Caenorhabditis elegans: one gene and its partners. The protein of the gene in region 2 interacts with the protein of the main gene of each other region in a pairwise test. Each region holds a gene or a part of one and is shown on either strand. Other genes may lie near its edges. The genes, in order: git-1, rike-1 and sahd-1.

Evidence for each region.
Region 1: the proteins of rike-1 (region 2) and git-1 interact in a two-hybrid assay, tested with the Caenorhabditis elegans proteins (one large-scale study listed by BioGRID).
Region 3: the proteins of rike-1 (region 2) and sahd-1 interact in a two-hybrid assay, tested with the Caenorhabditis elegans proteins (one large-scale study listed by BioGRID).

What each region holds. Positions count from the first base shown.
Region 1 is NC_003284.9:10,522,954-10,526,709, reverse strand, and holds the start of git-1 (Arf-GAP domain-containing protein), read right to left. Parts: upstream 1,813-3,756; 5' UTR 1,793-1,812; coding exon 1,768-1,792; intron 1,722-1,767; coding exon 1,602-1,721; intron 1,455-1,601; coding exon 1,373-1,454; intron 1,318-1,372; coding exon 1,246-1,317; intron 1,190-1,245; coding exon 1,037-1,189; intron 969-1,036; coding exon 785-968; intron 739-784; coding exon 433-738; intron 389-432; coding exon 192-388; intron 149-191; coding exon 1-148. Other genes in the region: Membrane-bound acylglycerophosphatidylinositol O-acyltransferase mboa-7, read left to right, coding at 2,153-2,306, 2,349-2,418, 2,465-2,594, 2,845-2,983, 3,100-3,248, 3,295-3,389, 3,435-3,609, 3,657-3,756.
Region 2 is NC_003283.11:14,543,758-14,547,513, forward strand, and holds the start of rike-1 (RING-type domain-containing protein), read right to left. Parts: upstream 2,065-3,756; coding exon 2,016-2,064; intron 1,973-2,015; coding exon 1,764-1,972; intron 1,724-1,763; coding exon 1,105-1,723; intron 952-1,104; coding exon 740-951; intron 649-739; coding exon 438-648; intron 393-437; coding exon 1-392. Other genes in the region: C53A5.13 (Fibronectin type-III domain-containing protein), read left to right, coding at 3,184-3,235, 3,282-3,428, 3,526-3,644.
Region 3 is NC_003280.10:5,513,290-5,517,045, forward strand, and holds the start of sahd-1 (Deoxynucleoside triphosphate triphosphohydrolase sahd-1), read right to left. Parts: upstream 1,604-3,756; coding exon 1,580-1,603; intron 494-1,579; coding exon 351-493; intron 1-350. Other genes in the region: ZK177.3 (C2H2-type domain-containing protein), read left to right, coding at 2,572-2,691, 2,994-3,125, 3,166-3,234, 3,285-3,356, 3,617-3,756. UniProt on the Caenorhabditis elegans protein: Has deoxynucleoside triphosphate (dNTPase) activity. dNTPase activity acts as a regulator of DNA precursor pools by regulating dNTP pools. Phosphorylation acts as a switch to control dNTPase-dependent and -independent functions.

The DNA of each region.
Region 1 (3,756 bases), on a different chromosome or scaffold from region 2:
TGAAAGTCTTTCTTTCATTTCCAATAGTTCGTCCCACACTCTGCTGCTCGATTCATCTAACGTATTAGCCTGAGAGTTGGGAACAATTCCCGAAATTGGACTGCATGATATTCCAGCTACTTCATCATAATCGGCGTATTCGCTTTTTCTGTAAGATCAAATTAAATTACACACGTCTAAGATCCACTAACTTCATAATTCTAAGTGGAGTGTCGTTTGACTTTCGCATATTCTTGGGTGGTTCGGATACTGGTGCTGGATTGTCTCCAGTGATTCTGCGCTTTTGGTCTTTGATTAAGTCTATCAGGAGAATTGTGAACTGAATTGGAGTGAATTTGGCAAGTTTCTGTCTTCTTTGGTTGCGAGCAGCTGACATTTGAGGAGTTGGCTATAAAAATATTTATAGCTTGAATGGGTTTCATAAAACTATACCGGCAAGAAAAGGTTTGTTGGCCCTTTGGCAGTTTTTGCCCATTTTGTCATGTTCCAGTTGACTTCATTTTCTCTGCGAACTGTTTCATCAAACGCATCTTCACATAGGTCAAAGAATTGACCTTTCGGGAGAACTGAGATCGCTGCTCTCGAATCATTAGTTTTTGTCAGGAATTGTTTTTCAGTGACTTCAGGAATGAAAAAGTCCTGGTTGTTCTTATGATCTGCTTTTCGATTGCACATGAAAAATGAGAAGCGATCAAAAACGTAGAAGAAGAATTCATAAATGCGATGTGAAAGTTGGCCCTGAAATGCTTAACTGAACAAGCATATTGAGAGTAAGAAAACTTACATGCCCCGCATCTCTAGCAAGAATGTATGGAAGCATTCCTTCTCTATTTGGTGCCATAATGTCAGCTCCATACAGGAAAAGAAGTTCTACTTGATTTGAATTGCCTTCTCGGGCTGCAACATGAAGTGCAGTGTCCCCAGTTTCTGGATCAGGATAGTTTACATCAGCTCCGAGAGCGATGAGTCTGAAATTTAAAAGTTTGTGTTGTTGCTATGAACTTCGTCCCTATAATGTTTTTGAAGTCACAAGCACCTTAAAGTGACATGAGCAAAATCACTGCGAGCACATGCAATGAGTTGTCGATTCAAACTATTCTCCAAATCTTCATCCTTTCCTCTTTTCGGTTGGAATGTCAGCTTCTCGTATTTTTCCTTCACAAATTGTTCTTTGATATGAGATGGGTCTCTACAAAATTGTTTTACAAAATTGTTTTACAGTTTAATTCAATAGCAAAAACTCACTGGGCCATTGGTTTCTGAAACTTTGTTGATCCCTCATATAAAGCACTTTCCCATATCATGTTGGTGTTAGATCTGAAAAAAATAATAGATAATTCCATTATTATGTTTAAACTATTCTAAAACATACGTGTTAAGAGCGTGAACAAGACGAATATGCTCCTCATCCCAAGCACTCTTGCGCAGATGACGGAGATAGCTCACTGACGGGCCTGTGAGTGTACTATTTATCGATTTTCATACAACCGGGGTCTTGGGAAAACAACGGAGAATTTGTGTAAATTTATAGATTTTATAGTCGGTGTTATTGAATAGTATTCAGAAGTTTTAATAGAAATTTAAAGTTTTTTTAAACTTACCAAGATAACTATGAAAACAGAAACATTCGGAGCAAATCACGGTTCCCTTTTTTACCGACGCCCATTCGACTTCTTTTTTGCCGCAGTCATCGCATTCCTTTTGCTCAAGTGATGTTATGACTGAAAAATATCCATTTTTTGTTGTGAAAAATACTATAAAACTTACGGTCAAGCGCCTCTGCTGTGTACATTTTTCAACCACTATTACTACCTGCAAAATATGAGAAAATTGAATGAAAAGATATATGAAAAATGACGGCAACTGTTAAAATCACACACTAATAACATAAGAAACGACTAAAGACTAGAAAAAGTGATTGTATCATTCTGCGGGGGACAAAAGTTGCAAACAAGGCCGTTTCGGATCTCATCACGCAGTGCGCACTCCAAGTGTTCGTAGTAATGCGTCCGCAAACACGTCAGCTGCGTGTTGACGCGTTTCCCCACGCAGCTGGCACATTTATCGACGTACACAGTTTATGCCATTAATTTTTTGTTCGCCAGTACGGTTTATTCTTGTAAAGTATTCGTTTTTTGTTTCAGGTAATATCATGGAAAATATCCTTGGCTTGATGTCCAAAGATGATTGGATATACACCGGATTGTTGCTTTTCTCTTTTGGAGCATCTTGTTATGTACGGAAAATTGGAAATAATATATTGGCATCTGGAGCACTCGGATTTGCTATGTCTCTTTTTATTATTGGTAATTGAAAATGACAATAAAAACCAAAATGGCATGTTGCAGGTCCAAAAATTGTATATTCACTGGGAATTTGTTCGATTGCGATTTCGATTCAACTGTTGGCTAACAAAAAGTAATATTACAAGAAAAAACGAGTAGAAACTAATTTAAACTTGCAGGAGCACACCACTCTACGTTTTCCTCACAACATTCACTTATCTGATGTTTGTTCGATTTGCGCATTACATTTTGCCTGTCAACGAAGTCGCCAGCCACACCAATGTCATTCAACTGATTATTACTTTAAGAGTAAGTTTTTTGTTTCAGAAAAGACGTGTTCATTACGGAGAGTTTGTTTTCGTAATAGTTGAAAATATTTCCTTCTTCAAAAACAGTAAAGAAAAAGCATATATATTGTTTGTGAAACAACTGCACTAAATTTCTATACTAGGTAGTGAGTTTAAATAGTGACTCATTCCTCGATGGGTCTTACAACGATTGAAATTATTTTCCAAAATAAGTGTTTTACTGGAATATTTATTTTTTGAAACTATTTCAGATAATTGGCATCACCTTTGAAGAAAATGACGCGTGGGTTCACAAAAGCGATGAGAATCCGACGAAAAGATACTTAACAGAGCTTCCTACTATTTTGGAGAAGTTTGCCTACTTTTATCATTTTTGCGGACTTTTCACGGGTTAGTTTGAGTTGACCAGAAATGTGTATTTCAGCAGCTGCTCAAATAAACTCTGCATAGTAAATTTCTAAATAGACATTTGGGAACAATATGCAATTATTATTAATTGTTTTCAGGACCATACTACACATATCAAATGCTTATTGATTCTCAAAACCCAATTCTAAAATCATGGGATCCCACACTGGAAGTGAAGTCTAGATTTGTTCGTCTCCTCTGGTCGGTTCCAGTTTTTGTGATCACGAACCACTATTTCCCACTTGATGTGCGTTTCCCAACAATGCTTTTCATTTTTAAACTTGCCCATTCAGATACTTCGATCGGATGCAATCTGGGAGGTCTCATTCTTTACTCGACTCGTCTACGCTGCTCTAATTTTTGTTGTGTTTAAAACAAGAGTATACAGGTTAGTTATTTCACTACTTTTTGTAATAGTATTAACAAATTTCAGTGCCTGGGCAATTGCGGAGTCGATTTGTGTTATTCTCGGAATCGGAATTTACCCAGCTGCTTCAAATCCAAAAATCATCATGGGACCAACGGATTTGAATGCTTTCGATAAGCTGAAAACAAGAGAAAACATTGAAATGAGCAGTGACGCAATTGTTAATTTAGATATTCCAAAAGTTTGTCCTTTATTTAATTATTATTTTTCATTTGCTTTTCTTCTCAGGTTGAGTTTTCTGATGGATTCCGCGATGGAATGAAAGCTTGGAACAGATCGGTTCAAACGTGGCTGGCTCTTTATGTGCATTCGCGCGTTAAAGTGATGA
Region 2 (3,756 bases):
TCCAACCATTGGTCCGGAGCAACTAATAATCTCCCATGCACGTTTTTCTGGATCAAATCGCTCGACTTCATTGATTAAGCTCCAATTGTCAGCACATCCGCGAATAGCATAAATAGCTTCGTTCGTCGAGTGAAGAGTGAAATATTTTCGATCTTTGCTCAACGATGGCTCATCTCTCCATGATTTCGTCAATGGATCATAGCTTCGAACTGATCTCAACGTATTACTCGAGTTACTCCATCCACCAGCAATGTAGATTCTTCCTCTGAAGGCACACGATCCAAATCCGGCGCGACTTCCTTGCATGTCGCCCACAATTTCGAACTTTTGACCAGGTTCTGACAGCTTCTCAATCTTCTCTTCATATTCTTTTCCATTGAAACCTCCCAACACTGAAATTAAACCTTTTTTAATCAACTAATTAATCGAAATCATACCATAAACCTCTCCATTGCATGGAACAACCGCTGCATCGGCACGAGGCCTTTGCAACGATGGTCCATCCTTCCACTCTCCTTGATCAGTATCATAAACTTCCACAGAATTCATATAAGTGCTATCATATCCACCGGCCACGTACATTTTGTTGTTATGGATTCCCGCCGACGTTCGTGTTCTTCCACGCTTCATTTTATTACACTGTAATAACTTTGACATTTTTGTTGAAATCAATAAAAATTATTTGTTTTAAAAGTTTACAATTCTAGAGAATTTTTTAAAAGCTGAAAGAATAACCCACATCTCTTCGCAAGTTTTTCTCCCGATCATACATTTCAACGTTGTTCAACCATGATCCGTTATTCATTCCTCCGACTATATAAATTTGAGATTTGCTGCAGGCAACAGCGTAGTTTGATTTTGGGTTCGGCATTCGCCCAACTGGCGTCCATCCTCTGTTTTTAGGATCGTAGACTCCAATCAAAAGTGGTTCACGGGCACTCTGCTTTCGATCTGGAAAAAAAGAATAATTTTGAGAGATTTTTTAGACTGGAATCGCGGGAGGAGTCTGTATAAAATGCAAAAGCATGATAACAACGAACGACACGCGAGCGTCGCGATGAGCTTTTTTCGTTCAAGAATGCACAACATAAATATAACTTTTACCTGCAACCAATACGGGATCCTGACTAGCGAAAACGAAATTTGCCTTAGTAACAGGTTGTTTAGTTTGAAAAACGATTCGATCGTGCTCTTCGATTTCGTTATTCAAAAAATCCAATCGTGTTCCAGCATCTTTGACAAGAGCTATCGTATCACTTATTTTCTCCATTTCAGCTTCGATGTTGTTGAAGTGAGTCTTTCTTCCGGGCGGAGACAACTTTTCATGCTTTTCGAAGTAATTTTGAAGTGATTTAATTGTCGCCGCAAATTTGTCAGAGATATCATCGCACACCTGCTTCGAAAGCTCACTGATTTTACTGATTTTATTTCCGAGATTAGTCGGTGCTTGATCTTCGATACTATTTTTCAAAAGAGCCAGCTGCATTGTCTGATGTCCTTCGTGTTGGGCCCCATCCAAAGCACAATCACCGCAAATCGCCATCTTCTTAGCTCGTGTCATTGCTTCATCGACTCCATCATCTCCAACAACTAATACTAATTCTTTTTTGCCTTCGGCTTGCTTCAGAACTCCTTTTCCGACGGCGCACGTTTTACAAATTCGTAATTTCTTGGAATGTAGGGTGCACTCACTGCATGTTCCTTCGTCTAAGCTCTGCAAAAACTTTTTCTGGGTTTTTATAGAAAAAGGAAATTATACTTACATTTGTGGATTGTGCCTGTGGCGCTACTCCCCCACTTTGCATACTTTTAAAGTGCTTTATTAATTCTAAAACTTGATAATTGATTGTAGTAATTGCGAAGGCTTCTTCTCGATTGCACTGTGGACATTTTGATGAGACCATTTGATGTTTGCAACTTTCACATATGGAGTGGCCGCATGTGCCTATGCAAGGTTTCCGGAGTTCGGTGTCTGAAATTTAGAAGTTTTTTTCGAAATTCATTAATGTGCTCACCATATTCATTATAACAAATTATGCATTCTGTTGTATTCACAATTGACATTTCTTGAAAATTATTGTGTTTGAACCAACTGTTGACCCGTCTTGTCTGAAAAGAGGTTCAATGTGTGTGAAATTATCGATTTTTAGGGAAAACTTGCGCATTCGATTTTGCAAAAGGATTTTCTAAAATAAAATAAGAATAAGATATTTTCCGCGCGGATGAGTGGTGTGCGGCACGCGAATAAATTTCTATCCGGAAAATTTTCGGCGGAAAATAAATATTATTTATGGATATATCCGGATACTTCGAAAGGGCGCATTTGCACACGCAAGGATTCTAGGCCGCGAAGCTTGACATTAATTTATCAAAACCCATTTGGATTTCGAATCCGAAAGAAATTCGATAGATTTAAAAGTGATTCAATTTTGACGATTGGAGAAATTTCGAAAACATGCAATATTGAAATAGTTTTATTTTGAAACACAGGAACAAAACAATGAACAGCGAAAATTCGGAAGAAAACTAGAAGATATTATAAAATAAGAATGAGCAAGGCGCGTTTATCCGTCGACAAAGAGAATGAGAGAAACATACGGACATTGCCACGGTTAAAAAAGGAAATAGAATATCCTAAAAAATGATGAAAATCATTGCTTTTAAGTAACTGTTTTAGCATTATTTGAAATGTTCTGTTTCCTCATATAAAATTTCTCAGATTTTAAAAAATTGCTTGAAATCAAAATTTCCCAACTCTTTCTAATACTTATTTGAACCTAATGAAGAAGCCACGCTCATTTTGAAACCATTCACCATATTCTAATTTCGCTTTTTTGTGCAGTTCTAAATTTAGAGAAAATTCGATCAGGGAAATTAGCCAAAGTTGGAAATTTGCAATTTTATATCCACCTTTCACAGAATTTCTCATTTATTTCCAGTTCGTTTTACAGATATCTAAAAATTAGGACAGGTTTGAATTACTGTATTCAAGGTTTTTTTTATTGCGACACGATAAAATGCCTTTCTCCTACCGATATCAAATTTTCGTTATTTTTCTCTTCTCTCGTTTTCAAAGACCAAGAAAGAATTCTATCAATATTATCCTTTTTGACACACGATGATTTCTCCTTTTCTCTTCATCCAATCTAATTTTTCTGTTTTCACAACGTCAATCTAATTCGAATGCGATTTCCCATACACTTTCTGATTTTTATTCCGTACTTAATACTCGTTTGTAAGTTAATAAGCTCGTAGTTCTATAAATAGTTTCGAATTATTAGCAGGAGAAAACGATATCGATGAAGATCGAGAAGGTGATGGTGTCGATGTAATTGAGGTTAGAAATGACGCAATTCGAATTCGATGGAAACATGATTCCGATGAAGAAATTGTGACAAGACAACGATTAGTTGTAACTGTTATGAGAAGTACGAGCTCTGGCCATTTTGAACATTCAGAATATAGAATATATGATAGGCTCACAATATAATTGTTATCTTACCAATTTGAGTTTTACGATTTCAGGTTCACAACAAACGGAAAAATCATCTCAAACAGTTTTGGTTGATGCATTTTTGCGCGACTACACATTTATTGGATTAGCTGGAAACACAACTTACCGTCTATCAGTGGAAGCTTTCAAGGTATCCTATATGAATGCTTTCTTGTGAACAAGTATATCAAATTATGTAGTTCCGACGTTGTTGCGGTGGCGGTCCTCGGAAATGAAGAACCACTCCTTTCGGGCAGAGATGC
Region 3 (3,756 bases), on a different chromosome or scaffold from region 2:
GGAAAAAAGTCTTGGCAAAATTTGGCTCACGGTCTGCCAACTTCTGAACAAAATTAATATTTTATATATATATTATAAATATCAGCAAAACCTGCAGTAATGTAGTACTACTGTAGGAATTACGGAAGGGGTACGCTTGGGGCCATTGTATACAATATCCCACCGTACCTAATCTGGGTGTCTCTGGAATTGGTCGAAAAAGCTTATTAGAACTGGTTTTTTACTAATTAGAAGTGGTTCCATCTTATCTGAGTAGGTTCTACGCGACGACTACATTTTGTACAATATCAATAAAAGGTGATCCAACTTTTTTCTATAACTTCCTCATAACTGCAGCTCTACAAACTTACGGGGAAGATGATGGGGTTGCAATATTCAAAGAACTCAGTCGACGCCGAACTTCTTTTGTGTGAATCTTTGGAAACCATGGTTGGCCACTGTCCATGACGGATGCACTCCGATATCGGGGACCTTTCAAACTTGTGGTGGTATTCTGAAATTCACAATTTCAATACCTAAAGCCCATTTCAGACTTAAAAATAGTTTTGCAATAGAAATGAATGAAATCATTACTGTTGTCCAACATTATGCACCTATATATATATCACTTGGCTCTCAACAAGGAACGCAAAAAAATGACACGTGATTTTTATAGAATGATTGTTTTGAAACTTTGTATTAAAAAGGACACTATGATGAATTAATAATAAAACAAACATTCAGAGTACGAGTAGTTGATATCAGAGCACTAATATGAGGAATACGGTAGATCCTACTTTCCTACTTTGTCAGAGTTTCGAACGAACGCTAAGAACTCTGGAAACATTTTTTTGCGATCAACACATATATATGTATCAGCAAAACCTGAAGTAATGAGAGTACTACTGTAGGGATTACGGTAGGAGCGTCTGAAGATCTCATAGTTCAGTTAATTCTGGAGTAGTTCAGGTTGTGCCTTTATACCAGAGCTTTGCGATTTGATAGAATATTTGAAGTTAAATTAATGTGACTAGATCTTAACGGGTTTTATTATAGTTTGAGTGAAATACACACTGATCAGCCCTATATTTGGTTTATACAACTCCGGTAGATACCTACCTATTCAGCAAATGTTACACATTTAAAAATTTGTTAACTGAGAAAATTACCAAAACTTATCAGCTAAAGAGTTGGACTCGGGCTTGACCTAGCGATACCTCTCCTTTCAGGAGCAGTGGTGGACACTTTAGTGATTGATTTGAAGACTTAAAATATGTTTTACTAACACACATTATCTTTAACTTATTTTTAACCAAGATTAAAGTTCGTGCCATAGAAAAAAGTGCCGAACATTCTGTGATAACTGAGGTGTCTTTGTACTCTAACTCCACCCTCACTATCATTAAGATTGCTCACGTGATGAGGGACCAACTATCTCAAAAGAGCACGAAACTCTGGTCCCATGCCATCATCCAGAAAGTTGTGATGAGGAATAAAAAAAAAAGAAAAACAACAACATCTCATTTTCAGACACACACTTGTCCACACTAAAGACGATTCGAACATTGATAGGTGTAACAATGTCACCAAAAAAACTTGCCGTTTCGATCTTAAAGTGATACATTTCAGTAGTTGAGAAGAGGGTCTGGTGACGAGTGTTCAATTGTCTGCAAAACTGAAACAAAATAAGTTAATAAAGTGAATAACAAAATATTGAGAAAAAGACGAGAACGAGGGGAACTCTGCTGGTCACTTTGGTTTTATCTTGTCATTTATCAGTACGTAAAACGTCACGGGGCACATGCCATGTTGCGGGAAAAAGATGAAAAGAAAGCATTCATAAATAACGCATAAGTATACTGAAACTGTTGTCCCCTGGAAGGAGATTGAAATAATAGGAATATAACTCAGAAAGTATGTTCAAGAAGCTGTTTTAGAAAAAATAGAAAAACTTTCTATCATATTGATTTTCCTAGCGAAAACTCAGTTTTAGCAATTGGCCGAAACTTTTGAAAATCGAACATTTGTTGAACTGTACATATTGTTATAAAATTTTGTCATGTTCCCATTGATTTACCACTGAAGATAATGCCTTAATTGAACTTCCAAGAAAATTATTCAAATACGAAATCTAAACTGTTCAAAACTCAAAACAGCGAAGATCAGGCAGACACATCCACCTGACGCGGCTTTTTTCATGCTTTCAACAATTTTCAACAACAAAATTAGAACTATGTTAAAACCGTATAATGAGCATTTGACATATTCTGATAAACTATAAGAGTATAGATAGGAAAGGTACGGAAACCGCACTTTTATCATAAAGTACACGTCATTTTCAATCTTTTTTTGCTTTATCAATTAAAAAAAACTTGTTTCAAAAACTATAATTTCCCTCCTTACAGTTCGGATCAATGTTCTATGCATATTTATTTTCTCCTCTTCCCACACCACGTACAACCATCATTTTCCCTTTGGTATCCCTGCCGAATAAAATGTGATAATTCTGCCTCCTAATAAAAAATACGGGGGAGCGAAATGTGCCCAGTTTTTCTTTTTTGACAATTTTCTTTTTTTCCATTTCGAGAATAAATGGAAGAATCACCCACAAAAACATTCAAATGTCCAAAGTGTTGGAACAAGTTTGAGAATAAACCAAAACTGATTACTCATGTCGATTTGGAATGCAAACATAAATATTTTAGATGCGAGGTAGGTGTCTTTTTTGTTTATTAAAACGGTTTCTTAAAGTAAATTTTAAAAATTTGTTTGATGTTCCGACAGTTCTTTTCTAAAATGTTGTTTTTATTACATTTTTGACATGTTTAGGTGAGTAGCTTTACGTTTTTTTTTTCAAATAATCCTTCCTGGAATTGAAGTCAAGTTCCATCTGCTCAAAGCGTTGCTTTTCCGCTGTTGCAGGGGATGGAGACGACTTGCCGTCATGGAGATATGAAAACACACCTCACTATCAGTCTGAAAAAAGTAGGCTTTAGATAATTTTTCAATTTCAGTTATGTGACTTCAAATCAACTCAAAAAACTGGACTCACCAGTCATTATCACGGCCACATTCGTCAGTCAAATGTCATCCACTGTCCATATTGCAAAAAGAAGAAAACGTTCAAAAGCAGGAACAATTTGATGGTAAAAAATTATTTCTGATGAATTTTAAAGTATATTCCAGGTACATGTTCACCATTATCATCCCACGCATATAAACGAAATGAAGCAGGCAAACTTGGAAAGTGCTAAAGTGAGTCTGTCAAAAATTCTGAAGGAGCTTATGAACTTATATGTCCGCAGGAAGAAAAAATGAAGACAATGTTGGAAAAGCAAGCAAAAGAAGCACACGAATTCGAAATTTCACAACCAGCGGTAAGTTGTTCATTTCATTTATTTCAATTTACTGTAAGTAGCCTGAAGTTGACTTTTCCAAAAATTATAACTACTCAATTTATTATTATAATGAAAATTTATTTCAAATCTCCAACTATGAAAAGTGATCTAAGGCATTCAATACTTCATCAAAATATTTCTCCCATTGCCATTTGTAAGAAAATATTTAAGTTTTATAAGGCTTTGAGAGTTTTTTAAACCTTCAATATTTTTTTCAACTCAAGAGTAACAACTTTCAGGTATTTGAAAAGGATTTCGCGAGTTATGATCTACCGATGTTTTCTCAATGCCCTCCAATGAACGGGATTCCAGTATCAACTCCAATTGAATATCCTTATTCTCAAAATCCTTATCAAGATCACACACCATTTGATAGCTA